3 linked regions of the Anolis sagrei genome follow. Each later gene encodes a partner of the first gene's protein in a complex. Links are inferred from orthologs where the notes say so. Each region holds a gene or a part of one and is shown in the gene's direction. Other genes may lie near its edges.

What was found.
Region 2: INTS4 (region 1) and INTS12 share a complex: the UniProt entries of both Homo sapiens proteins name them as parts of the integrator complex. The link is inferred for Anolis sagrei from reciprocal best matches to the Homo sapiens genes INTS4 and INTS12.
Region 3: the proteins of INTS4 (region 1) and INTS9 are in contact, whole or in part, in a cryo-EM structure (PDB 8RC4), measured with the Homo sapiens proteins. The link is inferred for Anolis sagrei from reciprocal best matches to the Homo sapiens genes INTS4 and INTS9. Residues at the interface, in NP_291025.3 of Homo sapiens: Leu53, Gln54, Leu57, Gln58, Arg61, Lys62, Pro86, Ser87, Leu90, Lys91, Ser94, Gln125, Gln129, Asp132, His164, Gln207, Asp208, Pro209, Arg210, Arg212, Asp244, Tyr245, Glu246, Gln247, Trp296, Phe837, Gly840, Leu841, Val842, Val843; in NP_060720.2 of Homo sapiens: Lys2, Tyr4, Lys18, Ser21, Thr22, Leu43, Val44, Gln45, Glu87, Glu89, Leu90, Asp92, Asp97, Thr122, Glu145, Arg146, Val147, Pro148, Lys159, Glu174, Ser176, Thr177, Ser192, Gln195, Phe206, Gly207, Ile379, His380, Ser384, Asn385.

Annotation. Positions count from the first base shown.
Region 1 is NC_090023.1:10,008,583-10,020,130, reverse strand, and holds the start of INTS4 (integrator complex subunit 4), read left to right. Parts: upstream 1-6,547; 5' UTR 6,548-6,603; coding exon 6,604-6,675; intron 6,676-9,742; coding exon 9,743-9,940; intron 9,941-10,731; coding exon 10,732-10,849; intron 10,850-11,382; coding exon 11,383-11,489; intron 11,490-11,548. UniProt on the Homo sapiens protein: Component of the integrator complex, a multiprotein complex that terminates RNA polymerase II (Pol II) transcription in the promoter-proximal region of genes.
Region 2 is NC_090025.1:29,042,321-29,053,269, reverse strand, and holds the start of INTS12 (integrator complex subunit 12), read left to right. Parts: upstream 1-6,636; 5' UTR 6,637-6,768; intron 6,769-8,877; 5' UTR 8,878-8,885; coding exon 8,886-9,041; intron 9,042-10,279; coding exon 10,280-10,432; intron 10,433-10,949. Other genes in the region: GSTCD (glutathione S-transferase C-terminal domain-containing protein), read right to left, coding at 588-1,037, 2,006-2,416. UniProt on the Homo sapiens protein: Component of the integrator complex, a multiprotein complex that terminates RNA polymerase II (Pol II) transcription in the promoter-proximal region of genes.
Region 3 is NC_090021.1:8,091,579-8,102,100, reverse strand, and holds the start of INTS9 (integrator complex subunit 9), read left to right. Parts: upstream 1-5,851; 5' UTR 5,852-5,949; coding exon 5,950-5,958; intron 5,959-10,522. UniProt on the Homo sapiens protein: Component of the integrator complex, a multiprotein complex that terminates RNA polymerase II (Pol II) transcription in the promoter-proximal region of genes.

The DNA of each region.
Region 1 (11,548 bases):
CACCAATGACAGAATTGGGGCAAACTTCCCACACAGAACCTCCATGATGACCAAAAGAAGTTGGCCTTCCAGTCCAACTCCCTTCACCAGGGCAAGAAAACATAATCAAAGCCCTCCTGACAAAGAGCCATCCAGCCATAGAGATATATATGATTCACACACAGAGAGATATAGTATCATAGATTTGAAAGAGACCCTTAAAGAAGGACAATGATTTATTTATTTATTTATTTATTTAGTACACTTGTATACCGCTAATATCTCAGCCTGTGCGGCGACTCATTGCGGTTTACAACATATTTAAAAATACAATATTCACTTTAAAAATATAAAATAAAATATAAAAATACATATATATACATACATAGTATTGGGCCACCAATACAGACCGGAACATCTCATAGTTAAAGTCGTAATCCAATTCGTTATCCTTGATTGCTAGTCCATGATCAAAACATCATCACATCGGAATTAGTTGAAAACTTGCTCGAACATCCAAGTTTTCAGTTTTTTCTGAAATGCCATTAGCGAGGTGGCTGATCTTATTTCAGTAGGGAGGGCATTCCAAAGCCGGGGGGCCACCACAGAAAAGGCCCTATCTCTCGTTCCCGCAAGCCGCACTTGTGAAGCAGGCGGGATGGAGAGAAGGGCTTCTCCTGAAGATCTTAGGGTCCTGGTGGGCTGATAGGCCGAGATACGTTCGGATAGGTATGTAGGGCCAGAACCGTTTAGGGCTTTAAAGGTCAAAGCCAGCACTTTGAATTGGGCTCGGTAGCTAATCGGTAGCCAGTGGAGCTGGTACAGCAGAGGAGTTGTATGCTCCCTGCGCCCTGCTCCTGTTAATACCATGGCTGCCGCCCGTTGGACTAATTGGAGCTTCCGGGCCGTCTTCAAAGGCAACCCCACGTAGAGAGCGTTGCAGTAGTCAAGGCGGGATGTAACCAGAGCGTGGACTACCGTGGCCAAGTCAGACTTCCCAAGGTACGGTCGCAGTTGGCGCACGAGTCTTAACTGTGCGAATGCTCCCCTGGTCACCGCCGAAACCTGGGGATCCAGGCTCAGCGATGAGTCCAGGATCACACCCAAACTGCGAACCTGTGTCTTCAGGGGGAGTGCGACCCCGTCTAACACAGGCTGTAACCCTATACCCTGTTCGGCCCTGCGACTGACCAGGAGTACCTCTGTCTTGTCTGGATTCAATTTCAATTTGTTCGCCCCCATCCAGACCGTCACAGCGGCCAAGCACCGGTTCAGGACCTCGACAGCCTCCTTAGTAGCGGGTGGGAAGGAGTGACAGAGCTGGACATCATCTGCGTACAGATGACACCGCACCCCGAAACTCCGGATGATCTCGCCCAGCGGCTTCATGTAGATGTTAAACAACATGGGGGACAGTATTGAACCCTGAGGAACCCCACAAAACAAAGGTTGTGGGGTAGAACAGGAGTCCCCCAGTGACACCTTCTGAGACCGACCCTCGAGGAATGACCGGAGCCACCCATTCCCGCGAGGCGTCCCAGAAGGATACCGTGGTCGACGGTATCGAAGGCCGCTGAGAGGTCGAGTAGCACCAACAGGGACACACTCCCCCTGTCGAGCTCCCGACGGAGATCATCCACTAAGGCGACCAAGGCTGTCTCGGTACCGTGTCCCGGCCTAAAGCCAGACTGTGCCGGGTCTAGATAATCCGTGTCTACCAAGAATGCCTGGAGTTGTGAGGCCACCACACGTTCCATGACTTTGCCCAAAAAGGGAAGATTGGAAACAGGCCGATAGTTTACCAATTGAGTGGGGTCCAGTGATGGTTTCTTCAACAGCGGTTTTATCACAGCTTGCTTTAAGCTGGCTGGGAAAATGCCTTCCCGAAGGGAGGCATTAACCACCACCTTAACCCACTCGGCCAATCCCCCTCTGGCCTCCTTTAGAAGCCAGGATGGGCAGGGGTCTAGGATGCATGTGGTAGCTCTCATTCCTCCAAGCACCTTGTCCACATCCTCGGTTTGAACCAATTGAAATGAATCCATCAAAATCGGACAAGCAGATGCTCGTGTTACATCCTCAGAGACTGCCGTTAATATGGTGTCCAGTCCAGAGCGGATCAAAGCGACTTTGTCTGTAAAGAACTGAGCAAAAGCTTCACAGCGAGCTGCCGCGTCATCAGGGCACCCATCCTGAATGGTGGGTTTTAAAAGGCCTCTGACAACTCGGAACAGTTCAGCCGGACGGTTCTTTGCAGACGCAATAGTGGCCGCAAAGAAAGTTTTCTTTGCGGCTCTTATTGCCGCGGCATATGACCTTAAAAAGGACACAAACAATGATATCTTGCATGTTCCAGGGTGGGCAAACCAGACACTCTCCATCTCAACACTGACAAAGAAACAGCAAGAAATAATGTTTACCCACAAGCAAAAAGAAATTACATATATTAAAAACCAACACTTTCTCGTTACTTTATTTTCCAGATCAACAGACTGGGCCACAGCAACACCTGGCAGGGGACGGCTAGTAATAATAATAAAACTTTCTTTATATTCCGCTCTATCTCTCCAAAGGGACTCAAGGCGGATTCCAAACATAAAAGACAAACATTCAATGCCCAAATACAACAACAATACATTCATGCTAACAAAATGTATACAGTAAATATGAATTATAACTTCACAAACTAAAATTAAATAAAAAGCACAGCCTGTTATAACAGACATAAGACAAAACGTCAAAGCAGCTGTGTGTTTATTATTCTTGTTCTTCGAGGCTATTTGAACAAATCACATGCCTCGGGTGAGCTAATGTTTACTTTCAAGCCACATCATGACTATTGTCTTCCATTGAAGTGTCTCATATCTGTTATACTGACTTTTGAAATCTCCAGTTACAAATAATACACAAAATTATTCACTATCCAGTTATATATTTATTTGATTTATCGTGCCAGGAGCAAACCAAACAGTTGTATTGCATTTTTTAACAAACAAACAAACAAACAAACAAAACACAAAGTTTGCAAGCTTGGTAGTTGATTAAATGTCCTTTGACGATTATTTGGCCACTTGGAGTGCTTCTGGTGTTGCTGCAAGAAGGTCCTCCATTGTGCATGTGGCAGGGCTCAGGTTGCATTGCAGCAGGTGGTCAGTGGTTTGCTCCTCTCCACACTCGCATGTCATTGACTCCACTTTATGGCCCCATTACTTAAGGTTGGCTCTGCATCTCATGGTGCCAGAGTGCAGTCTGTTCAGCACCTTTCAAGTCGCCCAGTCCTCTGTGTGCCCAGGAGGGAGTCTCTCATTTGGAATCAGCCATTGATTGGGGTTCTGGGTTTGAGCCTGCCACTTTTGGACTCTCGCTTTCTGAGGTGTTCCAGCAAGTGTCTCTGTAGATCTTAGAAAACTATTTCTTGATTTAAATTGTTGATGTGTTACTGATACCCAAACAGGGGATGAGCTGGCTTGGTCCTTTCACTATTGGCTGCCACTTCCCGGGGGATGTCAGGTGGTGCAATACCGGCTAAGCAGTGTAATTTCTCCAGTGGTGTAGTTATATATTATCATTTTAGCATCCCAAAATGTGGTTTAATTTCCTCTAAGGACCACTTTATCCCCATATCTTGTTTCCATTCTCATATTCCAATGATGGAAGCATGTTACTGAGCATGTACAGAGTGCCTTTGGGGACCCAAGCTTTGTATTTGAAGAAAAATGTCCAGCTAAACTTAAACTTTGACCAGGTTGCCTTTGCTCCCTTCTCCGGGACCCATCTATATTGCATAATGTCACGTTTTTCACTATATTTGTGGTTCTGATATGATAAATAAAAATCTACATTGCCATATAATGTACTGTCAGGATGCAATTTAACTGCATTGAATTGGATTATATGAGTCCAAAAATGCCATATAATGTAATATAATGCATGTAATGGAACCTCACCACCAATAGGAGGACTAGGGTTCTTAATAACTACTTCTATCCAGACTATCCCTGCCTGGCAAGTCCAACGGTGCATCTACACATGTTGAATGAATGCAGTTCCATACCATTTTTACTTCCACAGCGCAAAGCTAAAGCATCAGTACTCTTGGACCTTGGAAAACTACAACTATCAACAGTATAGACAAAAGACACACATACACAGAAGAAGAGCCTATTGAGCCTATTATTTTGTTATTGTTTGCATTTTATTTGATGTTATTATCTGTTATATGTATTTCATTTTGATTTCTTGTCATTGTTGAGTTTGGCCTCATGTTAGCCGTCCCGAGTTCCTGTGGGGAGATGGTGTTCGGGTAGAAATAAAGTTGTTTATTATTATTATTATTATTATTATTATTAATATTAGTAATATTAGGTTCTGAAGACCCGGGTTTGAATCCCTGTTTAGCCATGGAAACCCATTGGGTAACCAAGTTACACTCTCTCAGCCTCAGAGAAAGTCAATAGCAAACCTCTGAACATATTTTATATTACATGAAGCAGAAACTACTTCGCTTTTGGACCACCACTTCCAGAATAGCTGGCTTGGGGATTCTGGGACTGGTGATCCAAAAAACAAAGGATGGATGGTATCCTTGAAGTGACTGGCTTCACTCTGAAGGAGCTGGGGGTGGCCACGGCCAACAGGGAGTTCTGGCGTGGGCTGGTCCATGAGGTCACGAAGAGTCGGAAGCGACTGAACAAATAAACAACAAAATTAAATGTTAATCACGGTGATCAACGGAAACATTAACAGCTTCCTCCAACAGACAAGAGTTCTTTCTCCCACCCTGATATATAAACCCAATTTTCCTAGTTTCCAACAGACCTCACAACCTCTGAGGATGCCTGCCACAGATACAGGCGAAATGTCAGGAGAGAATGCTTCTGGAACGTGGCCACACAGCCCGAAAAACTTACAGTAACCCAGTGATTCTGGCTATGAAAGCCTTCAACAACACAATAATAATAATTAAAAAATTCACAAAAATGGGACTTGAAAGTGTGCATCTACACTGCAGAATTCATTCACATTGATGCCACTTTAACTGCCATGGCTCAATACTGTGGAATCTTGGGGTTTGTAGTTTGGTGAGTCACTAGAAGTCTTTGGCAGAGAAGCCTGGAAACCTTGCAAAACTGCAACTCCCAGGATTCCATGGGTGCATTTTTAACTTTATTTCTAAACTTTTGTATTATGCACACACACACGCTAGCCGTCCCCTGCCACCCGTTGCTGTGGCCCAGTCTATGTATATGTATTTTGTGGGTATATATATGTGTATATATGTGGTTTTGTGCATGCATTGTAATTTTTTTTTGCCTTTTAAGTCTCTTCTGCTGTGTTTTTTAGTGTTTTTATGTATTTTATTTATTTTTATTTGTATACTAGCCATCCCCTGCCATACATTGCTGTGGCCCAGTCTGTGTATATGTGCTTTGTGTGTGTGTAACTGTGTGTATATATTGTGTATATGTGTGTGTGTGTGGTCTTCTGCATGTGTTGTAATGTGTTTTTTCTTTTTTTGCCTTTTTAAGTCTCTTCTGCTGAATTTTTCAGTGTTTTTATGAGTGATGGGCACTAGTTGGCCGGATAGGTGTATTGTGTCCAAATTTGGTGTCAATTTGCCCAGTGGTTTTTGAGTTATGTTACTCCCACAAATTAACATTACATTTTTATTTATATTGATGATATCAAATCCAACATAAAAAGAGTCTCTATAGACATTCAAGTATATTTTATATTGCTGAGCGTAAACATGAAAACATACAGTAAGTGTGGAATACATGGGTATGCATTGCTGTGGCCCAGTCTGTGTATATGTGTATGTGCGTATATATTTGTGTATATGTGTATTTATGTGGTTATGCACATAAGTTGTAATGTAATGTATTTTTTATTTTATTTTTTTGCCTTTTAAAGTCTCTTCCAGTGTTTTTCAATGTTTTTATGAGTGATGACCTGATAGGTGTCCAAATTTGGTGTCAATTCGTCCAGTGGTTTTTGAGTTATGTTAATCCCACAAACGAACATTACATTTTTATTTATATAAATGTAATATCATATATATATATGTATATGTGTATATATATATATATATATATATATATAAAATAACATATAATATAATATATAAATGTCATAAATAATATATATATATATAATGCTATATACATATTATATTATAATATAACATATAATATAATATATAAATGTCATACATTATATATATATATATATATAGATATATATATAATTATATATTATAATATAACACATAATAAATATATAAATATATTATATCATATATAATATATATAGGTTTGCTGTGTAGTTCTACAGTGTAGATCCACCCAAAAGTGGTCTTCTGTTAGCTTACAAAATTAAATCAGGTTTCAAAAAATAATATTAATACAAAAATAGTTTTCCTTTCTTCTGAGCCATGTTTCTCATTCCCACTCTGCTTCTGTACATCAGTGATCTTAACTTCTTCAATTGGAAGCCTGAAGTCATGGTTGCGGTAAATACTACTTTGTCAGACAGGTCTCTTGAACCTTTTCCCACCGAGGAAGGCGGCTGGCTACGGTGGCTCCGAAGGGTCAGTAGTGACGGAAAAGCGAAACCGCGGGACTGATGCTTCGATCCAAGATGGCGGCGCACTTAAAGAAGCGAGTGTATGAAGAGTTCAGCAAAGTGGTCGTCCAGGTAACCGGGGGGGTCTTTTGAGACGCGGGTTGGGTGGCCTTGAGTGTAGATATATCTGTGGAATAATGTCCAGGGTTGGAGAAAGAACCCATGTCTGTTTGAAGCAAGTTTGAATAGCATTGAGTAGCAATGAAGCTGTAAAGTGAGGTATCTGCATAGAGGTAGCCTGGCTGTTGTTGCCTGGAGGCACTCTCTGTTTGGGAGGTGTTAACTGGCCCTTGATTGCTTTTTGCCTAGAGTTCTCCTGTTTCTGAGTGGTGTTCCTTATTTACTCTCTTGATTCTGGTGTTTTTTTTAATACTGGTAACTAACTCTTGTGATAATAATAATAATAATAATAATAATAATAATTTATTTATTTGACCAGTCTTATGACCATTTCAAAATGCAACACGAGTAAAAGACAAGGCAAAAAGGAGAGGACAGCAGCTGACATAGAATCAAAGAGTTGGAAGAGACCTCGTGGGCCATCCAGTCCAACCCCATTCTGCCAAGAAGCAGGAATGTTACATTCAAATCACCCCTGACAGATGGCCATCCAGCCTCTGTTTAAAAGCTTCCAAAGAAGGAGCCTCCACCACACTCCGGGGCAGAGAGTTCCACTGCTGAACGGCTCTCACAGTCAGTTAGGAAGTTCTTCCTAATGTTCAGGTAGAATAATAGAATCAAAGAGTTGGAAGAGACCTCTAGGGCCATCCAGTCCAACCCCATTCTGCCAAGAAGCAGGAAAATCACATTCAAAGCACCCTAACAGATGTCCATCCAGCCTCTGTTTAAAAGCTTCCAAAGAAGGAGCCTCTACCACATTCCGGGGCAGAGAGTTCCACTGCTGAATGGCTCTCACAGACAGGAAGTTCTTCCTCATGTTCAGAAGGTGGAATCTCCCTTCTTGTAGTTTGACGCCATTGCTTCATTGCGTCCTAGTCTCCAGGGAAGCAGAAAACAAGCCTGCTCCCTCCTCCCTATGACTTCCTCTCACATATTTATACATGGCACTCATCATGTCTCCTCTCAGCCTTCTCTTCTTCAGGCTAAACATGCCCAGCTCTTTAAGCTGCTCCTCATAGGGCTTGTTCTCCAGACCCTTGATCATTTTAGTCGCCCTCCTCTGGACACATTCCAGCTTGTCAATATCTCTCTTGATTTGGGGTGTCCAGAATTGGACACAATATTCCATCTGTCTTCACTTCACTTCACTTCTCTTCACTTATGGTGCCCAGAATTGGACACAATATTCCAGGTGTGACCTGACCAAAGCAGAATAGAGCATGGGTAGCATGACTTTCCTGGATCTAAACACTAGTTTCCTATTGATGCTTTTTTTGCTGCCACATCACATTGTTGGCTCATGATTCTTGAGATGATGGAACAAAAGAGAACAGACATATGGAAGAGTGGGGATTTGAACATTGGCCTTTAAAGTCATACCCTAATGCTCAGACCACAACACTATACTGGCTTTAAACATCCATATAGATATACTTATGTAAGGCAATACAAATTTATTTATTTATCGTGTCAGGGGCAACCAGACCATTGTATTACATTTCTAACAGAACAAAATAAACAAACAGGCAAAACACAAAGTTTGCAGGCTTGGTAGTTGATTAAATGTCCTTTGACCAGTATCTGGCCACTTGGAGTGCCTCTGGTGTTGCCGCAAGAAGGTCCTCCATTGTGCATGTGGCAGGGCTCAGGGTGCATTGCAGCAGGTGGTCAGTGGTTTGCTCTTCTCCACACTCGCATGTCGTGGATTCCACTTTGTAGCCCCATTTCTTAAGGTTTGCTCTGCATCTCGTGGTACCAGAGTGCAGTCTGTTCAGCGCCTTCCAAGTCACCCAGACTTCTGTGTGCCCAGGGGGAGTCTCTCATTTGGTATCAGCCATTGATTGACTCTCGCTGCCACTTTTGGACTCTCGGTTGCTGAGGTGTTCCAGTGAGTGTCTCTGTAGATCTTAGAAAACTATTTCTTGATTTAAAGCGTTGGCATGCTGGCTGATACCCAAAAAAGGGGTGGGCCAGAGATGTCACTGCCTTGGTCCTTTCACTATTGGTTGCTACTCCCTGGTGGATGTCAGCTGGTGCAATACCACCTAAACAGTGTAGTTTCTCCAATGTCTGTTTGAAGCAAATTTCAGTTAGTAAACTTGAATAGCATTGAGTAACCATGAAGCTGCAAAGTCAGTCAGTGAGGGTATCTTCAGAGGTAGCCTGGCTGTTGTTGCTTGGAAACATTCTGTTTGGGTATAGTGTTAACTGGCCCTTGATTGCTTGTTGTTTGGAGTTCTCCTGTTTCTGTGTGATGTTATTTATTTACTGTCTGGATTCTAGTTTTTTTTAATGCTGGTAACTAGATTGTGTTCATGTCCATGGTTGACATTTACAGCCCAGAAAAAAAATCATGTTACATAGTAATATTTTAAATTATTTTTTCAAACAAAAATACTGAATTACTTACGAAAGTAATCATTGCTCTTTGGATTTTTTCACAGATATCTTGCTACATTCACATGCAGAATCAAAACACACACACATATAGCATAGGTTGTCTTCTTAAAGGAAGGCGTTAGAGAGGAGGAGTTAGGGGTGAAAAGTGATCTCCCTTTTCTGTGCTCCTGTACTCTCCCCTTCTCTCTCTGCACTCTCCATTTTTCTCTATGAGGGGCTTTTCCCCTTTCCATTGTCATCAGCTGACCACCAGAAGCGACTTGCAATTTCTCAAGTCACTCCTGACACGACCAAAAAAAAAAAAAGCTGGCCACCGTGCACATTCTGATTTTAATTTTTTTTAATGTGTATGTCGCAATATATATTTATATACTGTAAACATGGCCCCCTAAAACCATTGCAAATGCAAGAAAATTACTGTTATTAACTCATTCTTAAATTGCCCCCTTTAAAAAATCAAATTGCCCCTCTGTGAGGTGTGTGCCCCACATTGGGAACCAGGGATCTAGATGGCTATAATAACAAGGCAATTCTTACAGCTTAATGTGTGGAGAATCATTTAGCATTTCCTGCCTCCTTTCTTTGAGGAAACACAGCCTTACACAGTTTATTGTTACAGCAACAGCAGCATGAAGAGATTTCTGCGAAGAAGCTCCGGCTGACCAAGCCAAGTAAGTCAGCAGCACTCCACGTGGATCTGTGCAAGGCGACTTCACCAGCAGATGCTCTGCAGTACCTGCTGCAATTTGCCAGGAAGCCCGTGGAACCAGAAAGCGTGGAAGGAGTGGTCCGAATCTTGCTGGAGCATTATTACAAGGTGAGATGAGTAGGTCCTACAGTTTGATCACCACGGCTCAGTGTTCTGGAATTCTGGGAATAGTAGTTTGGTGAGGCACCATCTTTTTTGGCAGAGAAGGCTAAAGACCTTGAAAAAACTCCCATGATTCCATTGCATTGAGTCGTTAACAGTTAAAGTGATTTCAGACTGCATCAGTTCTTGAGTTTTATTTGTCGTGTCAGAGCAACCAGTCAATTTTATTACATTTCTAACAGAACAAAACAAACAAACAAAATACAAAATTTGCGGGTTTGGTAGTTGATTAAATGTCCTTTGACCAGTATCTGGCCACTTGGAGTGCTTCTGGTGTTGCTGTAAGAAGGTCCTCCATTGTGCATGTGGCAGGGCTCAGGGTGCATTGCAGCAGGTGGTCAGTGATTTGCTCTTCTCCACACTCGCATGTCGAGGATTCCACTTTGTGGCCCATTTCTTAAGATTGGCTCTGCATCTCGTGGTGCCAGAGTGCAGTCTGTTCAGCGCCTTCCAAGTCGCCCAGTTTTCTTTGTGCCCAGGGGGGAGTCTCTCATTTGGTATCAGCCATTGGTTGAGGTTCTGGGTTTGAGCCTGCCACTTTTGGACTCTCGCTTGCTGAGATGATCCAGAAGTTATAGAGTGTAGATCAGGCATGGGCAAACTTCAACCCTCCAGATGTTTTGGACTTCAACTCCCACAATTTCTAATAGCCTACTGGGTTGGAATCACATTCAATCACATTCAGGGAGACTGAAATAATTCAGGTTTCCTCTGTTGTTGTTTTTTTATCTCTATAGGAGAATGATCCTTCTGTCAGACTGAAGATTGCTTCCCTGTTGGGCTTGCTGTCAAAGACTCCAGGGTTTTCTCCTGACTGCATTCTGGATGATGCCATTAACACACTTCAGAATGAGAGTACGTAAGATTTTTCCAGTGGAGTTTGATAAGAAATTGGAATCTGTCCAGACTGAATTTTGGGTTTATTTGTGTCAGGTGCTGTCATCAATATATGCATAAAGCTGCTTTATATTTAGTTCCATTATTCCCCTCTGGCCAAAAGAATACAGTTCTTTTTCTGCCAGCTGGATTTGGCCAAAGATTGTTTCTTTCATTTTCAGATGACTTCTTTCCAATCCTGTGGTGCAGTACAGATTTTCTTTTCTTGTTTTATTTTAACCTTTGTAAACTTCTTTGTGTTCCATGTTGGGACAAAGGTGGTATATACATATCAGCAACTACTACTACCACTGCAGAGGAAAATAATACATTTCCTTTCTCCATCTTTCTGCTCCCCCCCCCCCTCAGTTATTCGTACCCCATTTATAGCTGAAAGCTTTATACAGGGTTTCTTGCGTTGTATAGCTCTGAAAACCTCTGTTTTCTTAAACAGCCATTCTGGGACATGAGTGAATGCAAACCATATTATTATTATTTATTATTGTTCTTAGAGTCGCACCAGGTTCTTGCTCAGCTGCTGGATACCTTACTGGTGATTGGGAAGAAGCTCCAAGACAGCCTTGCAGTGCGTGTGCGCCTGGTAGATGTCGCTTGCAAGGTAACTAGCAATGTGAACTAGTGAAAATATTATTAGTGAATTGATCATAGGGAAGTAAT
Region 2 (10,949 bases), on another chromosome or scaffold:
GAAGAGGTCCTATCGCCTCCTTGTTTTTCCTTTTTCTACTGACATAAGAATAGAAGCCCTTTTTATTGTTTTTAATGTCCCTGGCAAGTCTGAGCTCGTTTTTTGCTTTAGCTTTGCGGACCTTTTCCCTACAGGTGTTGGCCATTTGTTTGAATTCTTCTTTGGTGATTTCTCCCTTTTTCCACTTCTTGTGCATGTCTCTTTTGTGTCTTAGCACAGTTAGAAGTTCTTTGGACATCCATTCTGGCTTCTTTGCACTTGTCCTATTTTTTCTCTTTGTTGGCACGGTTTGCAATTGCGCCTTGAGTATTTCACTCTTGAGAAGTTCCCATCCATCCGTAGCTCCCTTGTCTTTTAGTATCTGTGTCCACGGAGTGCTGCTCAGCGTTTCCTTCATTTTTTGGAAATCAGCTCTCCTAAAGTCCAAAATGCTTTATTCCAGTTAATAATTTTCATTTTATACTTTTTTACTCCCAGATAAACATGTAAAAGCGAATACAATCATTTACAGATAAAGAGAGAGTGGAAACAACTCATCAACTACTAGATCATCTTGACCACATATTAAATAAAACCATCATTCTTACCAGGAAATGATGGATGCAAGGAAAGAGAACAACATCAGCCAATGTGAAATAAAGTCCTTCTGCAAAAACGTGTTCCAACTGTGGGAGTTCTGACGTTTTTATCTTTCTTATGTGAGAGGGCTCCCTAGAAGTAGCCGTTTGTGTTTTCTGCAGAGTTAATTTAGAGAGAGCAACTCTCAGTTCCAGGTCTGCTCCACAGGGTTCCAGATCTTCTGTTAACTTTTCATCTTGTGAAGAAACATCATTATTTGATTCCCTGACAAAGGTCTTTTGCTGCTTAACTTTCTGCCTTCGAATTTTGTCATCATTATGAACCCTTACAGGCGCTCCCAATTTTTTTTCTAGCTGCAGTATCTCATCTGGAATAGTCTCACACTCAGGAGAGGCTCGTAAAAAGTTTTCAACAGCCGAAGGAATGCTGATTTCACAAAGTCTGGTCCATTCACTAACCTGCAAATGAATATAATCGCTAAGTTAAGGGATTAGTTTTATATCTATACTCACGGAAACCACAAAAGGAATTCCAACAAAAGCATGAAGAGTTACAGAATACGGCCCTTTGCTTTTGTAGCAAAAAGAAAGGTCTATTCAAACATACTGAGAACAACTAACTGAGATTCCTCTTCCCCAAGGATAAGTTATTTATTTACTTCATTTATATACCACTTTTCTTACCCCCTTGGGGGGGGGGGGGGGGGAATTCAAAACCATTTCCAAAATATTCACGGAAAAATTCAATGCCTTACAAAACATGAAAACCCAATATAATGCAACAGTAACATAAAACTATACATTAAATCATAAAATGCAACTACATGTAAACATTAAAACAAGAAATTAAAAACAGATTAATCTAAACATTAAAACAATAAACTTGTTATTCAATTCTTCCAGCATTGTCATATCAGTATCAGGAGCCATGGTGGCGTAATGGGTTAAATCCTTTGGCCGGCTGAACTGCTGACCTGAAGGTCAATGATTCAAATCCATGAGATGGGGTGAGCTCCCATCTGTCAGTTTCCCTTGCGGGGACACGAGAGAAGCCTCCTACAGGAGGTGGCCCCTGGGCAACATCCTTGCAGATGGCCAGTTCTCCCACACTAGAAGTAACATGCAGTTTCTCAGGTCACTTCTGACATGACATAAAACTATATCAGTATCAAATGCATATTCAATGTTATTTGCATTACATTTCATGATTTACTATTCTTTGTGATTCCTTCCCATTTAATCTATACTAGACATCTGGGATTGTATCACGTTAGTAATTTCTGAATTAATTTAAGAAAGAAGGCCAAGATATGTTACTGGCTTGCTTTTCTATAGTGGGATAATCAATCTGTTTGAAATCAATTAATAAGATTCAATGTGTTTGAAGTTTATTACAAATCACTATAAATCTATATAGAAATACTCACTTCAGCACAAGCTTTCAAACAGGTCTTTTTAAAACCCAAGAGTTCGAGAATATCTTCTTTTGATGGATCTGCCTCGTACGTTTTATGTATAATGTGTCTGAGTACCACAGCAAGTCCTGCTCGGCAAAATCTTCCATTCTTCTCAACAACAGCAGGCAAACAGCAACTCTGGACCACCAAAGGGAGTTCACACTTTTTGATGAAGCAAATATCTAGGTCCTTCGGTAGTACTTTGTCTGTAAACTGAGAATCAGAAGCTGTTTCATCTGAAGATACTAGAAACACTCTGAATGTTTTGCAGCCACAGTATGACAACAGGAACAACGATACAGAGGTATGGAGAGGAAAGATACAATCTCCAGTCTGATTAATGTAGTCCAGATACAAGTGGTCTTCAGTAACCGCTTTCATTTTTTTCTTAAAGGAAGAAATGGTATTAATAAAATATATGTAGATGATTTAATTTTTAATACATTTTAAACTATGAAAATAATCAGTCCTTTTTCCTATTGGAAACATCAATTCATTCACAAACCAAATGAATTATACTAGCCTAAAATGAAAGGGCAATACCAAGATATGCTTGGCATGGGGACTCTACATTAAGTTAATCTTCTCTCTGCAATTTTTGGCATCACCCCTCCTTCATATTGGCTAGTAAAGGCAGAAAATACTGTTTAATGGCACTGTTTTAAGACAGTCAAAACAACATAGTATCCATCATCCTTCTCGTATTAACACACACAGCAAAGGAATAAGTTCCTACACCATTAAAAAAGTTCAATGTTTTTGAGCAAACTTTGCATCCAAAATTCAACAATATTCACATGGGAAATCAAATAACTTGAATTAACAATTGGTTAAAATGCATTATTTTCAGAGTAAGACCCAATTTTACATCTTGAAAGTCTCTCTTTTACCATCACACTACCAATGCAAATTCTTCAGCATATGGTACTTAAATGGTTGAGTAGTCCACTGATTTCATTAAGTTATTCAATATACAGTGGGAACAGGGATTACATTCCTGATTTGCAGAATACCGACATAATTTTGGTGACTAGATCTTTCTGCCTCCTGTTTAATCTTGTGTGATGTGTACAATTACAGACTCCACTTACTAAACCCTAGGGACCACATCGTTTGACATGCACATCTGCAGCCTCAGCTTTTTATTTGGAAATTGTGAGGAAATGTACCAATTCCCACTTCCCCTATGGAAGTGAGAAGATTTTTTTAAAAACACATAATACACAGTAGAATTAATGCAACTTTAACTGCCACAGAAAATATTATGGAATCCTTGTAATTGTAGTCTGATGAGGCACCAGCACTCTTTGGCAGAGAAGGCTACAGACTTTCTAAAACTACAGCTCCCAGGATTCCATGGCATTGAGCCATGGCAATTCAAGTGCATTAATTCTACAGTATAGACCAGTGGTTCCCAACCTGTGGGTCCCCAGATGTTTTGGCCTTCAACTCCCAGAAATCCAACAGCTGGTAAACTGGCTGGGATTTCTGGGAGTTATAAGCCAAAACACCTGGGGACACACAGTTTGAGAACCACTGGTGTAGACAAACCTTGGTTACATTGCTTTCATTGTTAATAGCACTGTTCTTGAAAGTTCGACAGTGGATTACGTAAAATAAAAATTAAGTCATTTACACAAAAAAATATTATTAAAAGAAGTCACAACTCCTCTGGCAAAGGCAGCAACCTAAGAATCAAAATAATGAATGATGCAGAAAGAGGTTGACAACGGAACTTCTGCGTATCTTCTCACCATTAAATATATTTTCGCTTAAAGGGAGATCTCGTTGCTCGGAAAATTTCAATTGGAAATTTCAATTGGTACAATGGGCGGCAGTCAGGTTACTAACTGGCGCAACTTACAGAGAGCGGTCAACCCTCCTGTTTAAGGAGCTCCACTGGGTGCCTTTCATTTTCCGGTCCGAATTCAGGGTGCAGGTTCTTACCTACAAAGCCCTGAATGGTTTGGGACCCGCCTACCTAAGTGACCGCATTTCTGTGTACGAACCCACACAATCTCTTCAATCGTCTGGAGAGGCCCTGCTCGCGCTCCCACTTCCTTCACAGGCGCGTTTGGTGGGGACAAGGGAGAGGGCCTTCTCAGTGGTGGCCCCCTGACTCTGGAACTCACTTCCCAAGGAGTCTTTAGGAGGAGTCTTTAGGAGGAGCCTGAAAACGTGGTTGTTCCAGTGTGTCTTCCCAGAATAAGGAAAACTCTCAGAAATATGCCCTCAAAATGTACTTTTACCACAGATTTAGGACTGACTGCATTCCCTCATCTCTCTTTGAAAACCCTATACCAGTTATATCCTACCTTGTTCATGCCCAGTGTTATTTTTTAAATTTTAAACTATTACATTTGGCCTGGCCATAAGTTTTTAAATGCGTGTATGTTACTGGTGGCCCCCCGACTCTGGAACTCACTTCCTAAGGACATCAGGCAGGCCCCAACTTTGGCAGTCTTTAGGAGGAGCTTGAAGACGTGGCTGTTCCTGTGTGCCTTCCAAGAATAATGATCCCATAGCACTTTGTCCTCCAAAGCACTTTACATTTTAGGCCTGCTTGTATGTTTTCCACAAATGCCCCATCACTTTTTCGCCCATGTTCCAGCATTACTTCCAATTTTAATTTTACATTTGGCCTTCCCATAGTTTTTAATCATGTGGTCTTATTGTTAATGTTGCATTATTGGATTGTCCATGTTTATTTTAATTACTTGTATTGCTGTTATTATTGCTTGTATTGTTGCATTTGGGCTCAGCCTCATGTAAGCCGCACCGAGTCCCTTGGGGAGATGGTAGCAGGGTACAAATAAAGTATTATTATTATTATTATCATTATTTATTGGTTATGTGATTTATATTAATTATATTGTATTGATTGTTTTTGTTATTGCTTTTTGTTTTATTGATGTACTGTTGGGCTTGGCCTCATGTAAGCTGCACTGAGTCCCTTGGGGAGATGGTAGCAGGGTATAAATAAAGTATTATTATTATTATTATTATTATTATTATTATTATTATTATCATTATTTATTGGTTATGTGATTTATATTAATTGTATTGTATTGATTGTTTTTGTTATTGCTTTTTGTTTTATTGATGTATTGTTGGGCTTGGCCTCATGTAAGCCGCACCGAGTCCCTTGGAGAGATGGTAGCAGGGTATAAATAAAGTTTATTATTATTATTATTATTATTATTGCTCAACTAGCTGTCCCCTGCCACGCGTTGCTGTGGCCCAGTGTGTTGATCTGGAAAATAAAGTAATGAGAAAGTGCTGGTTTCCAATATATGTAATGTTGTTATGTTTGTGGGTAAACAGTATTTCTTGCTGTTTCTTTGTCAGTGTTGATGTGGAGAGTGTCTGGTTTGCCCACCCTGGAACATGCAACATATCATTGTCCTTCTTTAGGGGTCCCTTTCAAATCTATGATACTATATCTCTCTGTGTGTGAATCATATCTATCTATCTCTACCTATGGCTGGATGGCTCTTGGTCAGGAGGACTTTGATTATGTTTTCTTGCCCTGGTGAAGGGAGTTGGAATGGATGGCCTTAAGTATTCTCTGTTGGTCATGGGGGTTCTGTGTGGGAAGTTTATCCCGATTCTATCATTCATGGGGTTCAGAATGCTCTTTGATTGTAGGTGAACTGTGAATCCCAGTGGCTACAACTCCCAAATGTCAAGGTCTATTTCCCCCAAACTCCATCTGTGTTCATATTTGGGCGTATTGAGTGCTTGTGCCAAAGTTTGGTCCAGATCCATCATTGTTTGAGCCCACAGTGCTCTCTGTATGTAGGTGAACTACAACTCCCAAACTCAAGGTCAATGCCCACCAAACCCTTCCAGTATTTTCTGTTGGTCATGGGAGTTCTGTGTGCCAAGTTTGCTTCAATTCCATCGATGATGGGAGTTCAGAATTCTCGTTGATTGTAGGTGAACTATAAATCCCAGCAACTACAACTCCCAAATGACAAAATCATAATTTTTAGAGTGATGGCCACTCCTTGTGTTGTGAGACATTTTGTTGCCAAATTTGGTATGATTTCGTTCATTGGTTCTTTTGTTTTTAAGGTACTCATTATGCACAGAGCATTTATATATATATATATAGAGAGAGAGAGAGAGAGAGAGAGAGAGAATAGAATGCAATGGGATCTTGGGAGTTGTAGTTCTACAAGGTCTTCTGCTAGAGTGCTGTTGCCTCACCAAACTACAACTCCCAAGATCTCATAGCACTGAGCCATGGCAGGGAAAAGTGATGTCAAACTGCAAATTGTAGAGTAGGCCTGGGCCAACTTGGGCCCTCCCTCCAGGTGTTTTGGACTTCAACTCCCACAATTCCTAACAGCCGGTAGGGTGTTAGGAATTGTGGGAGTTGAAGTCCAAAACACCTGGAGGGAGGGCCCAAGTTGGCCCAGGCCTGGTGTAGAGGGGAAAAAGACAATCCTTTTCCAAGCAAAAGCTCGCTTTAAAAGCCAAAGACTTGATGGGACATTTCTCCAAAGCCTCCTTACCGGAGATCCTTAGCCAGCGCCTTCCTCTCAGTGTCCGCCTCAGAAGCCGCAAGCCCCGCCTCTTCCGGCGCTCCTCCTCACTTCCGTTGTGTGTCTGCCTGCCAGCCGGGGACAGAAGGCGGCCGGCACCTCTAGGGAGAAGGAGGAGAACGAGAAGGAGACACCTGGCTGGCTGGACTTCTCCTTCGCGACGGGGTTTCCCTGCCAAATGAGGTGAAAGAGCAGGGGCCAATGAGGAAGGGGTTATTTTTTTTGAAAGCTTCTCTCCATTGTGTGGTAATGAATTGTAATGTATTGTAATGAATGCCTTTCTCCTCCTGTGCTAAAGAGGACCATGCTACAACTCCCAGGATTCAAGAGCATTGAGTAAAGTGGTGTCAAACTGGCTCTATAGCAAGCAAGGGCTAACTTGGGCCCTCCAGGTGTTTTGGACTTCAACTCCCACAATTCCTAACAGCCGGTAGGCTGTTAGGAATTGTGGGAGTTGAAGTCCAAAACACCTGGAGGGAGGGCCCAAGTTGGCCCCTTCTAGCCTTGTCTCTCTCCTGAGGAATCTGTATAAGGACCAAGTAAAGTGGAAGGCAAAAGGAAGAGGGGCCGACCAAGGGCAAGATGGATGGATGGCATCCTTGAAGTGACTGGACTGACCTCGAAGGAGCTGGGGGTGGTGACAGGGAGCCGACAGGGAGCTCTGGCGTGGGCTGGTCCATGAGGTCATGAAGAGTCGGAGACGACTGATTGAATGAACAACTGACCATGGAACAACAGACTGGTTCAAGATTGCGAAAGGTGTACAGCAGGGTTGTCTACTCTCCCCCAACCTATTCAACTTGTATGCAGAACACATCATGCGATGTGCAGGGCTTGAGGAATTCAAGTCTGGGGTGAAAATTGCTGGAAGAAACATTAACAACCTTAGATATGCAGATGATACCACTTTGATGGCCGAAAGCGAGGAGGAGTTGAGGAGCCTTCTAATCAAGGTGAAAGAAAAAAGCGCAAAAGCTGGGTTGCTGTTAAACATCAAAAAACACAAGATTATGGCAACAAGAATGATTAACAACTGGGAAATAGAGGGGGGAAACGTGGAGACAGTGACAGACTTTGTATTTTTAGGTGCAAAGATTACTGCAGACACAGACTGCAGCCAGGAAATCAGGAGACGCTTACTTCTTGGGAGGAGAGCAGTGTCCAATCTTGATAAAATAGTGAAGAGTAGAGACATCACACTGGCAACAAAGATCCGCCCAGTCAAAGCCATGGTATTCGCTGTAGTAACCTACGGATGTGAGAACTGGACCTTAGGGAAGGCTGAGCAAAGGAAGATAGATGCTTTTGAACTGTGGTGTTGGAGGAAAGTTCTGAGAGTGCCTTGGACTGCGAGAAGATCCAACCAGTCCATCCTCCAGGAAATAAAGCCCAACTGCTCATTGGAGGGAAGGATACTAGAGACAAAGTGGAAGTACTTTGGCCACATCATGAGGAGACAGCAAAGCCTAGAGAAGATCTGCATAGTTAAAGCAATGATATTCCCCGTAGTCACCTACGGATGTGAGAGCTGGACCATAAAGAAGACTGAGTGAAGGAAGATACATGCTTTTGAACTGTGGTACTGGAGGAAAATTCTGTGAGTGCCTTGGATCGCAAGAAGATCAAACCCATACATATTCCAGGAAATAAAGCCCGACTACTCATTGGAGGGAAGGATATTAGAGGCAAAGATAAAGTGCTTTGGCCACATAATGAGAAGATAGGAAAGCTTGGAGGAGATGGAAGGAAAAAGGGACCGACTCAAGGGCAAGATGGATGGATGTTATCTTTGAAGTGACTGGCTTGACTTTGAAAAAGCTGGGGGTGGCCATGGCCGACAGGGAGCTCTAGCGTGGACTAGTCCATGAGCTCATTATTATTATTATTAACTTTATTTGTACCCCGCTAGCATCTCCCGCAGGACTTGATGCGGCTTACAAAGGCCAAGGCCTCAACACAACAGCAAAACAATAACAATACAATTTAAAGCAAATTAAAACATAAGCAATAACAAAATGTTACATCATTATGCAATAAAACCAGGGCTGGGCCAGTGATGGGTACAGGTTAAAAAGTGCTGGGTGTGGCAGGAGGTATGTTGGATTTCCGGGCAAGTGCAATGTGCAGAGAGTCTTAAACTCTAATAAAGTGCTTCTGGGACGTAGTAGCTCAGGTAGAGTAGGAAGCAACTGAATGAATAAACAACAAAAACCAAAGGTTAGTTGACAAGCAAAACATATGTTTAAACTTTTTCCATCTTGTTATTTCTCTCTTTCTTTTCTTCCTTCAAAGGTGCTGCTATGGCTGCTGCTATGAACTTGGAGCTGGACCCCATCTTCTTGAAAGCTCTTGGTTTCTTGCATTCCAAAAGCAAAGATTCTGCTGAGAAACTCAAAGCGCTGCTTGACGAATCCTTGTCCAGAGGGATAGACTCAAGCTACCGCCCCTCACAGAAGGTACTAGCCCTAATATATGGAATATGTAAGGTATTTTGTGCTCCTCCTTAAACTGAGGTGCTTTTTGTCAGAAAAAGGTACTATGGTTATGGCTGAGCACTTGATGAACCAACTTGACTCAGCATATTATTTGAGAACACAGAAATGCTGGACCATTCTAACAACCACCATGTCAGACTATACAGAGAAGCCCTTGAAATCCACAAGCGTGTGGACAATTTCAACAGAAAGGAGGAAACCATGCACAAAATCTGGCTACTAGTATTAAAAAAATTCTATCAGGACAGTAAATAAAGAACAACACTCAAAAAACGGGAATTCTGGACAGGAAATAGTTAGGGCCAGCTAACACCTGACAAAGGATTCCTCCAGAAAGGAAGCAAATAACCCAGTTCAAAGCAAATATTGTTGGATTTTCTGCCTTGATATTCTGGGTTATATGGCTGTGTGGAAGGAACCTGAATCAAAAAACCATTTAGATTCCAAAGAAAGCTTTGAGGGTTTTTTTAAACCCCACAAACTCACTATATGGAGATTTCATTTTGATCAGAAGAAGTGAATATGTCAAATAAAGAATAAATAAAGAAGGTTGCAATCATGAGGAAGTAACTCTACTGAACTCGATGAGTAAACATACTTTGAATCAGTCTGTGAAAATACAGAGAAATTAAAACAAACAATTACTACACTATGTAACAAAATTTGAAACATTTTTTGTTACTGATTTGAAAGTGTTATTTAATAGTACCATACTGATTTTGAAAGTGTTATACTCCAGAAACTTGGTTTTTGTGGCTGCCACAAACTATGTTGAATTGATTGAATTTGACTCGAGATATTCATTGAAAAAACTATAGCAAAATGTGCTGTGGGATGTCTGGCTTTTAAATTTTAATGCTTTATAAAACTTTTATTAAAGTCAGTTTTTAAGCCTGCTTTTTAAATAGTTTATTAGTTTTAAAATGTAATTTTTAGTTGTGTGATGTTTAATTTGTTGCAATTTTTAATTATTGCTTGATGTAGATGTTTAATGTATTTTTATGGTAATTTATCTGTTTGTTTACCTTTTACAGCATTGAATGTTCACCGCTACATATTGTTAAGCACACTGAGTCCCCATTGGGGAGATAGGGAGGGATGGAAATTATACTTTATTATTATTATTATTGTTATTATTATTATTATTATTTGCAGTTGAATAAACGGTCAATGTTGTATTTTTGTTTGGCTTTACTCAGGAGGTAGAGCCACCCAAAATATCTATTGCAAAACCAATATCCGTTAAACAAGAGATTAAGGTTTCCTCAAGCCTTCCTACAGGCAGCAATAATGGCAAACCTGTTGTGGCCGAAAAGGTGAAAAAGGAAGTGGAAAAGCGATCTGTTGATAAGGTAAGTTGAGATGGATTCATTCTCTAGTGTGATGAGATCCTAAGTGTTAAGCTCTTTGGACAGAGCTGTCTTTAGATCCCACTACAATCAGGCCCCATCTACACTGCCATATAATGTAGTTTCAAAATGCAGTTTCAATGCATTGAACTGCATTGTGTGGCAGTGTAGACTCATATAATCAAGTTCAGTGCAGTTATTCTGCATTCTGAAACTATTGTGTGGCAGTATAAATGGGGCTACAGTAGTTGCTATGGAACTCTAACCCAAGTTTTAGTTGACATTCCTTTTTGTTTCTCTTTTTTTTTATAAATCTTTTTTATTGAATTTTGTGCATATGTACAGTAAGAATCAGTGAGAGAGATACAAGTGATTAGTCGTAAACATATTAAATTAAAAAACATATTAAATTCCTTTTTGTTTCTCTTTCTGAAGCATAAGGACCTTTTTATGGGTCTTTACTTATTGTTTCATTACTACAGGTCTTTTCTTTGAATATGTTGTGTATTTTATCTTTTTA
Region 3 (10,522 bases), on another chromosome or scaffold:
TACCTTAAAGGCACCAGTTTCTGTCTGATCCAGAGGCTGAGCAGGGTTAACGCTGGTTAATACTTTGATGAGAGACTGCCAATGAATGCCAGGTGCTGTTGGCTCTATTTCAGAGAAAGCAAATGACAAAACCAGCTATACATATTCCTTGCCTAAGAAACCCATGTGAAATTCATGGGATTGCTGTAAGTTAACCTGAAGGCCGATACATATACACAACTTTCTGAAAAGTGGAAGACTGAGGAAGAATACCTCAACACTCCCAAGCAGTTCAGCATTAGATGCCTATGACACATTTGTCTCATGTTAGATGCTGGAAAAAGCACATCTGTATCTTTCATACAATCACAGAGTTGAAAGAGACTACAAGGGCCATCCATCCAAACCCCTCCCATGCAGAAAAATACAAGCAATTATACCCGACAGATGGTCATCCAGTCTCTGTTTAAAAACCTCCAGAAAAGGAGACGTCACCACATTCAGGGGAAGCATATGCCACTATTGAACAGTTTTTATCCTTGAGAAGTTCTTCCTAATGTTTAGGTGGAATCTCTTTTCCTCAGTTTCATTCCATTGCTCCATCGTGTCCTAGTCTCCAAAGCAGCAGGGGGAAAAAGTGCTCATGCCTCATTGTGACATGCTTACATATATTTCAGCATGGTTAATATCCCTGTCTCTCCGCTTTCTTTTCTCCAAGTCCAAGATAAACATACCAAGTTCCCTAAGCCACTTCTCAATGGGCTTGGCTTCCAGACCTTGGTCACCCTTTAGGCTCTCCAACTTTCATACACCTCCCTTTCAAACTCCCCCCTTCAACCCAACATTGCTACAGAAGAACCCAAAGCTTGGGATGCAGTGACAGTTCTCAGGTCCCACTTGTCATGCTTTCCTGTTTGCAAGAGAACTCCTCCCACTCTGGATATCAGATTATGGCACACCCCGTCTCTCAGCTCGCAACACCCCTCCCCTGCCACTTCTCTGCCCTTTTCCGATACCGCCACCATCTCAATTTCTAAACGCATATACTTTACTGGAATTCTCATGCCCAAACCCTAGAAAAAAACCAACAGGTAGTCCAACCCGCATGGTAAAGAGGTCAAAACTCTTCACCTGGTTTAAGTGTGCTGTGAGAAACAGAAGCTATTAAAGTTTAGTTAAAACCAGGAGCTTAGGTTTAATGAAGCAGCAGTAAAGGCTGCCAGTGAGCTGAGCATCAATCATCTCATTCAAGGCTGGAATCAATTCCCAAATAAAATACAGCATGCATAAAGCCCTCACTCTCTCCCCAAAAATAATAACATGCTTCTTCTACTCTAAGACACCATTAATTGTAAGACATGCACTAATTTTAGTAACACCAAGAGAAAAAGCTTTTATTATATGTAAAAAAAGCAGCCATGATTCTAAGATGCATCCCATTTTAGAGGGTTTTACATGAGGAGAAGCATACACCTTAGAATCGAGGAAATACAGTCATAATTATTTCAGCAATTTGGCTAAAGACTGCTTAAATCAAGAAAAAAACAACTGCTCTTCAAGGCCATCAAGACAGAATACATTATCTTCCCTCTCCTAACAGAGACAAAAATGTGCTTTCTTCTGCAGCAGAAAAGAAGTATCCACCACAAATCATCTACCATCACTCAAAACCAAGTTCTGGAAATGTTAACAGTCAAAACCAAGACACTTTGCTGATGTTATTCACACAGCACTGAGTAGACATACAAACCGAGTGTGTCCCTGCTTGACTTTTCTCATACCCTGAGGGACGGCAACCTTGACCTACGAAAGAACCGATCTGTTGGGAAACAATCCTGTCCGTCAGACTGAGATGACTCTCCCTGGCTGAGTTTCATGTTATCTGGGCATCCGCGACAAGAGCCCAGCCTCTCCAGATGGCTGGGAGAATCCAAGACAATGATCATACCTTCCTTTTTGTTTTCCCTTTCGGAGCAATTAACCTAGAAGAAGAGCCACCGCCATCCCCTCTCTTTCCGTCTCGCGCGATGCAGAAAAGAGCAATCACAACTTAATAATGTCAGATTTTGCAGGCGGGGAGGTGGGAGGGAAAGAAACCAGCTCCTTCCTGTACAGGAGAAGAGCCTTCAAAGTGAGTTAAGAGGCAACAAGGAGAGTGATCTTGAGCAGGCGCCCAAAAGAGACGTTTCCTCTCCATCTCTTTGCCCGACAGCATTCATTTCAAGGGGAAAGAGAGGGTGGGAGGGAAGGAGGGAGGCAGCCAGCCGCCTCCTTGTCTTTTAAAACTTCCCCTGCAAAAAATTGCATGCATGCATACGTAATAGATAGAACAAACCTTACAAAATAGATAGTCCAAAAGAAGTCTCATCCACAGAGTGGAAGAAAATAACCCTTTTGTATTCTATTCCCTGCAAATACATATAGAGAACAGAAAATAAAACGGATAGTTCAAAAGAAGCCTTCATTCTCAGAGAGAAAGAGAACAAACCTTTCCCTGCAAGTGGATTTATATTATATTATGTATATATCCAACAAAATAGCTAGTTCAAAAGAAGTCTCCTTTCTCAGAGAGGAAGAAAAACAAACCTTCCCCTGCAAGTGGATTTATATTATATTATATTATATATCCAAAAAATAGCTAGTTTAAAAGACATCTCCTTTCTCAGAGAGGAAGAAAACAAACCTTCCCCTGCAAAGGGGATATAGATAGAGATATGATTATATAGATATAGATGATAGATAGATATACCATAAATACATATCCCACAAAATAGCTAGTTCAAAAGAAGTTTCTATTCCTCAGTGAGGAAGCAAATAAACCTTCCCTTGCAAAGGGGATATAGATAGAGATATATGGTTATATATCTCTATCTATCTGTCTATTATAGATATAGATATATTATACTATAAATACATATCCAACAAAATAGCTAGTTCAAAAGAAGTATCTCTTCCTCAGTGAGGAAGGAAACAAACTTTCCCTTGCAAAGGGGATATAGATAAAGATATATGATTACATAGGTATAGATATATTATACTATAAATATATATCCAGCAAAATAGCTAGTTCAAAAGAAATATCTCTTCCTCAGTGAAGAAGCAAACAAACCTTCCCCTGCAAAGGGGAGAGATATAGATATGGATAGATAGATATAGATATAATATACTATAAATATATATCCAACAAAATAGCTAGTTCAAAAGAAGTATCTCTTCCTCAGTCAGGAAGCAAACAAACCTTCTCCTGCAAAGGGGATATAGACAGATATATATGATTATCCCTCTCTCTCTATATATATATATATTGCTGTATATATATATAGTATAATATATCTATATATTATATAGATATATTATACTATATATATACAGCAAAATAGCTAGTTCAAAGGAAGTATTTCTTCCTCAGTGAGGAAGCAAACAAACCTTCCCCAGCAAAGGGGAGATATATAGATATAGATATAATATACTATATATATATATAGAGAGAGAGAGAGAGCGTATTATACACACACACACATATATAACTACAGTGCAGATAGATATAGATGTATTATACTATAGATATATATTCCACAAAATTGCAAGTCCAAAAGAAGTCTCTCTACCTCAGTGATGAAGAAAACAAACCTTCCTGTGCAAAAGGGATATATTGATAGATATAGAAATATTATACTATATCTTCTTTCTAAGCTATTTATCCAACGGAAGGGTTAGCATAGATATATTATACTATATCCCATAAAACAGCTAGTTCAAAAGAAGTCTCTCTACCTCAGTGATGAAGAAACAAACCTTCCCCTGCAAAGGGGATGTATATATACTATAGATAGATTAAACTCTCTCTAGATATCTATATCCCACAAAAGAGCTAGTCCAAAAGAAGTCTCTCTACCTCAGTGATGAAGAAAACAAACCTTCCACTGCAAAGGGGATATATAGATATAGGAATATTATACTATATCTTCTTTCTAAGCTATTTTCCCAATGGAAGGGTTAGCATAGATATATTATACTATATCCCACAAAACAGCTAGTTCAAAAGAGAGGAAGAAAACAAACCTTCCCATGCAAAGGGGATATATTGATAGATATAGATATATAATACTATATCTTTTTTCTAAGCTATTTTCCCAATGGAAGGGTTAGCATAAATATATTATACTATATCCCACAAAACAGCTAGTTCAAAAGAGAGGAAGAAAACAAACCTTCATGTGCAAAAGGGATATATTGATAGGTATAGATATATAATACTGTATCTTCTTTCTAAGCTATTTTCCCAATGGAAGGGTTAGCATAGATATATTATACTATATCCCACAAAACAACTAGTTCAAAAGAAGTCTCCTTCTTCAGAGAGGAAGAACACAAACCTTCCCATGTAAAGGGGATATATTGATAGATAGATAAATATAATAAGCTATTTTCCCAATGGAAGGGTTAGCATAAATATACTATACTATATCCCACAAAACAGCTAGTTCAAAAGAAGTATCTATTCCTCAGTGAGGAAGCAAACAAACCTTCCCCTGCAAAGGGGAGATATATAGATATAGATAGATATACATATAATATACTATATATATCCATAGAGAGACAGTATACTATATAGATAGATGGATATAGATCACACAAAATTGCAAGTCCAAAATAAGTCTCTCTATTTCTGTGAGGAAGAAAACAACCCTTCCCTTGGTTATATATCTCTATCTATATTATAGATATAAATATATTATACTATAAATACATATCCAGCAAAATAGCTAGTTCAAAAGAAGTATCTATTCCTCAGTGAGGAAGCAAACAAACCTTCCCTTGGTTATATATCTCTATCTATCTATATTATAGATATAAATATATTATACTATAAATATATATCCAGCAAAATAGCTAGTTCAAATGAAGTATCTCTTCCTCAGTGAGGAAGCAAACAAACCTTCCCCTTCAAAGGGGATATAGATAGAGATATATGGTTCCCCCCCTCTCTCTCTCTCTCTCTCTATATATATATATATATATAGATATAGACATATTATACTATAAATTTATATCCAACAAAATAGCTACTTCAAAAGAACTATCTCTTTCTCTTGCAAAGGGGATATAGATAGAGATATATGATTTATATATAATAGATATAGACATATTATACTATAAATATATATCCCACAAAACAGCTAGTTCAAAAGAAGTATTTCTACCTCAGAGAGGAAGAAAACAAACCTTCCCCTGCAAAGGGGATGTGTATATAGTATAGATAGATTAAACTCTCTCTCTATATCTATATCCCACAAAGAGGAAGCCTCTCTTCCTCAGAGAATGAGGAAAACCAACCTCTTCTTGTCCTTCCTCCCCAAAACTCTGTTGACATTTCCCCACAAAGTCACTTTGGGAAGGAGCCACTTTCTTCCTTCCAAATCTCTCCTGTTTCTTTCCCTTTTCCTCCAAAATCTCCTTTCAGAAACAACTCTTGATTTTCTGCCCTAGCATAAGATGGGCCTCACCTGGAGCCTTCTTCTGGAGCCCTGAAGAGGAGAAGTTGAGGGGAAGCTTCCCTGCCCTCAATCAGACCAGCCTGACTGCCTTTGTCTGCCTGACAAGCGCCATGTTGATATCAACATCCAAGCTCCCACCTGCCGCCGCGGGGAGGCCCTGGGACTTGTAGTTCCGCCTCCCCCAGGGTGCAGGCGCCAAGTCGCCGCTGGGAACTACCCATCCCGGCATGCCTTGCGCCGACGCTGATTAGACGGCGGTTGGAGGAGGGAGGCGGGGAGGAGGGAGTAGAGACTACGCTTCCCGGCGTGCTCTGCTGCTGGCAGGACAAGATGGCCGCCCATGACTTCATTCTCCTGAATCATTAGGAGGCTGAGAGAAGGACTACACTTCCCAGGATGCTTCGGGAAGCACTTCCGGTTGGGAAACAGGAAGGAAGAGACTGCATGCCACAAACAGAGCCTGGGGTGAAGCATGAAGCTGGTGAGTCTGGGAGGACTTTGGAGGAAGTTTTAAATAGTAATAATAATAATAATTGTGCGATGTGTGATCCAGTACAACTGTGCAGGTACAGTTGTACCAGGAGCTCCAATTTTGTTTGCTTTGCACAGAATGTTTGTTGTAGTCCTAAGTTTCAGGGACTCTGCAGATAGGTGGCTTCTTTTGGCTGCAATCATAGGGCAAGCCACCTGTCAATTATAGTTAGGTTCCCTGGCCCTGCCCCCTTTTTGGGTTTTGTAGGGAATTATGCTGGGGAAAGTGGAAGGCAAAAGGAAGAGGGGCCGACCAAGGGCAAGATGGATGGATGGCATCCTTGAAGTGACTGGACTGACCTTGAGGGAGCTGGGGGTGGTAATGGCCGACAGGGAGCTCTGGCGTGGGCTGGTCCATGAGGTCACGAAGAGTCGGAGACGACTGAACGAATGAACAACAAAGGGAATAGGAGTCATTTGGGATTCAGTCCACACAGAGAAGCCTTTCGTGCAGGACGTAATACCAAGAGCTCCTGTAGAAAGCTTAGTCTTCTTCGTCTGATGAAGGCAGAACCCGGAGCAGGGCATCCCCAGACGATCTTAAAGTCCTAGATGGTTCATAAGGGAAGATGCATTCGTACAGGTAAATTGGACCAGAACCATTTAGGGCAGGGGTCCTCGAACTTTTTAAACAGAGGGCCAGATCACAGTCCCTCAAACTGTTGGGTTATTGATGTCACCCTACCAGGAGACAGTCACATTGAGGAAAAACAATGAAAAACAGGAAAACTCAGCCGTGATCAGGACCTCAAAATTGAATGGCAAGGGCTCTGGCGAAAACCAGTACAGGTGATCCCAGTGGTCATTGGCACACTGGGTGCTGTGCCAAAAGATCTCAGCCAGCATTTGGAAACAATAAACATTGACAAAATCACGACCTGTCAACTACAAAAGGCCACCTGACTTGGATCTATACGCATCAATTCGAAAATACATCACACAATCCCTGGTTCACCGAGGAGCTGGCAGCGATGAAGCGAAGGAAGAGGGAACTAGAGAGTGTGTGGCGTTCGGATCCGAGTGAGCCAAATCGAACACGGTTTGTGTCCTTTTTAAGGGCATATGCCGCGGCAATAAAAGCCGCAAAGAAGGCCTTCTTTGCGGCTACTATTGCGTCTGCAAAGAACCATCCGGCTGAGCTGTTCCGAATTGTCAGAGGCCTTTTAAATCCCACCACTCAAGGTGGGAACCCTGACGATTCGACTTCTCGCTGTGTAGCTTTTGCTTAGTTCTTTGCAGACAAAGTCGCTTTGATCCGTTCTGGTCTGGATACCATGTTAATGGCAGTCTCTGAGGATGTAACATGAGCACCTGCTTGTCCAGTTTTGATGGATTCATTTCAATTGGTGAAACCCGAGGATGTGGACAAGATACTTGGAGGAATGAGGCCAACCACATGCATCCTGGACCCCTGCCCATCCTGGCTTCTAAAGGAGGCCAGAGGGGGATTGGCTGAGTGGGTTAAGGTGGTGGTTAACGCTTCCCTTCGGGAAGGCAAGATTCCAGCGAGCTTAAAACAAGCTATAATAAAACCGCTGTTGAAGAAACCATCACTGGACCCCACTAAATTCGACAACTATCGGCCAGTTTCCAATCTCCCCTTCTTGGGCAAAGTCTTGGAACGTGTGGTGGCCTCACAACTCCAAGTATTCTTGGTAGACACGGATTATCTAGACCCGGCACAGTCTGGCTTTAGGCCGGGGCATGGAACTGACACAGTCTTGGTCGCCTTAGTGGATGATCTGCGCCGGGAGCTCGACAGGGGGAGTGTGTCCCTGTTGGTGCTGCTGGACCTCTCAGCGGCCTTCGATACCGTCGACCACGGTATCCCTCTGGGACGCCTCGCGGGGATGGGTCTTGGAGGTACTGTTTTGCAGTGGCTCCGGTCATTCCTGGAGGGTCGATCTCAGAAGGTGTTGTTGGGGGACACCTGTTCAACCCCACAACCATTGTCTTGTGGGGTTCCTCAGGGCTCAATATTGTCTCCCATGTTGTTTAACATCTACATGAAGCCGCTGGGGGAGATCATCCGGAGTTTCGGGGTACGGTGTCATCTGTACGCGGATGATGTCCAACTCTGTCACTCCTTTCCACCTGCTACTAAGGAGGCTGTCCAGGTCCTGAACCGGTGCTTGGCCGCTGTGACGGTCTGGATGAGGGCGAACAAATTGAAATTGAATCCAGACAAGACAGAGGTCCTCCTGGTCAGTCGCAAGGCCGAACAGGGCATAGGGTTACAGCCTGTGTTGGATGGGGCCGCACTCCCCCTGAAGACGCAGGTTCACAGCTTGGGTGTGACCCTGGACTCATCGCTGAGCCTGGAACCCCAGGTTTCGGCAGTGACCAGGGGAGCATTTGCACAGCTAAAGCTTGTGCGCCAGCTGCACCCATACCTTGGGAAGTCTGACTTGGCTCTGGTTACATCCCGTTTAGACTACTGCAACGCTCTCTATGTGGGGTTGCCTTTGAAGACAGCTCGGAAACTCCAACTAGTCCAACGCTCGGCAGCCATGATTTTAACAGGAGCGGAGCGCAGGGAGCATACAACCCCCCTGTTGCGCCAACTCCACTGGCTACCGATCTGCTACCGGGCTGAATTCAAAGTGCTGGCGTTGGCCTTTAAAGCCCTAAACGGTTCTGGCCCAAGCTACCTATCTGACCGCATCTCTGCCTATGAACCCACCAGGACTTTGAGATCTTCCGGGGAGACCCTGCTCTCGATCCCGCCTGCTTCTCAAGCTCGGCTGACGGGGACGAGAGATAGGGCCTTCTCGGTGGTGGCTCCTCGGCTGTGGAACGCCCTTCCTACGGACATTAGACTAGCACCATCTCTAATGGTATTCCGCAAAAAGGTGAAGACCTGGATGTTTGTGCAGGCGTTTGAGTAATTTAGTGCAATCTGGTAATGGAACATAGGAATGGAACAATGGACGACGAACCTGGACTACGCTTGGATGATGAGAAGATTGGGTACGGTTGTTTTTCGTAATAATTGTGCATTGTAATTGCTTATTGGTAATTTATGGATAATGTGTTAAGTCAATTGTTATATGTTGCATGGCACCACTGCTGTTTCTACTGTTTTTACTGTTTGTGAACCGCTGTGAGTCGCCTTCGGGCTTGAGATACAGCGGTATAGAAGCAAAGTAAATAAATAAATAAATAAATCCCAGACGCTTGGGAAATGTTTGACTTGTGATTTTGTGATACGAAATCCAGTTTGCTGTGACATACTGTTTTTGTGTCAGTAAAATAATAAAAATAATAAAATATGGGAGGAAGAGATGATAATAAATAAATAAGGTCAATATAATAATATAATAATAAAATGTGGGAGGAAGAGATGATTCGCACACACACACACCTCCCTTTATATTTCTGTTTTTAATTTTGCAACTCCTGCCCCTTTTGGTGGGATGAGTTATAATTTCAAGCACCTATCCCAAAAACAGCAGGAGACGACGGGATCCCAGCTGAACTGTTTAAAATCTTGAAAGATGATGCTGTCAAGGTGATGCATGCCATTTGCCAGCAAATATGGAAAACACAAGAATGGCCATCAGACTGGAAAAAATCAACTTATATCCCCATACCAAAAAAAGGGAAATGTGAAAGACTGCTCAAACTTCCGCACAGTGGCCCTTATTTCTCATGCCAGTAAGGTAATGCTCAAGATCCTGCAAGGAAGACTCCAGCAATACATGGAGCGAGAGTGGCCAGACGTTCAAGCTGGGTTTAGAAAAGGCAGAGGAACGAGAGACCAGATTGCCAATATCCGCTGGATAATGGAGAAAGGCGGGGAGTTTCAGAAAAACATCTACTTCTGCTTCATTGACTATTCTAAAGCCTTTGACTGTGTGGATCATAATAAATTGTGGCAAGTTCTTGGTGGGATGGGCATCCCAAGCCCCCTTGTCTCTCTCCTGAGGAATCTGTACAAGGACCAAGGAGCAACAGTCAGAACTGACCACGGAACAGGAGACTGGTTCAAGATTGGGAAAGGTGTACGGCAGGGTTGTATACTCTCCCCCAACCCATTCAGCTTGTATACAGAACACATGTGCGGGGCTTGAGGAATGCAAGGCGGGATGAAAATTACTGGAAGAAACATTAACAACCATAGAATAATAGAATCAAAGAGTTGGAAGAGACCTCCTGGGCCATCCAGTCCAACCCCATTCTCCCAAGAAGCAGGAATATTGCATTCAAATCACCCCTGACAGATGGCCAGCCAGCCTCTGTTTAAAAGCTTCCAAAGAAGGAGCCTCCACCACACTCCGGGGCAGAGAGTTCCACTGCTGAATGGCTCTCACAGTCAGGAAGTTCTTCCTCATGTTCAGATGGAATCTCCTCTCTTGTAGTTTGAAGCAGGAAACAAGCTTGCTCCCTCCTCCTCCCTGTGACTTCCTCTCACATATTTATACATGGCTATCATATCTCCTCTCAGCATTCTCTTCTTCAGGCTAAACATGCCCAGCTCCTTAAGCCGCTCCTCATAGGGCTTGTTCTCCAGA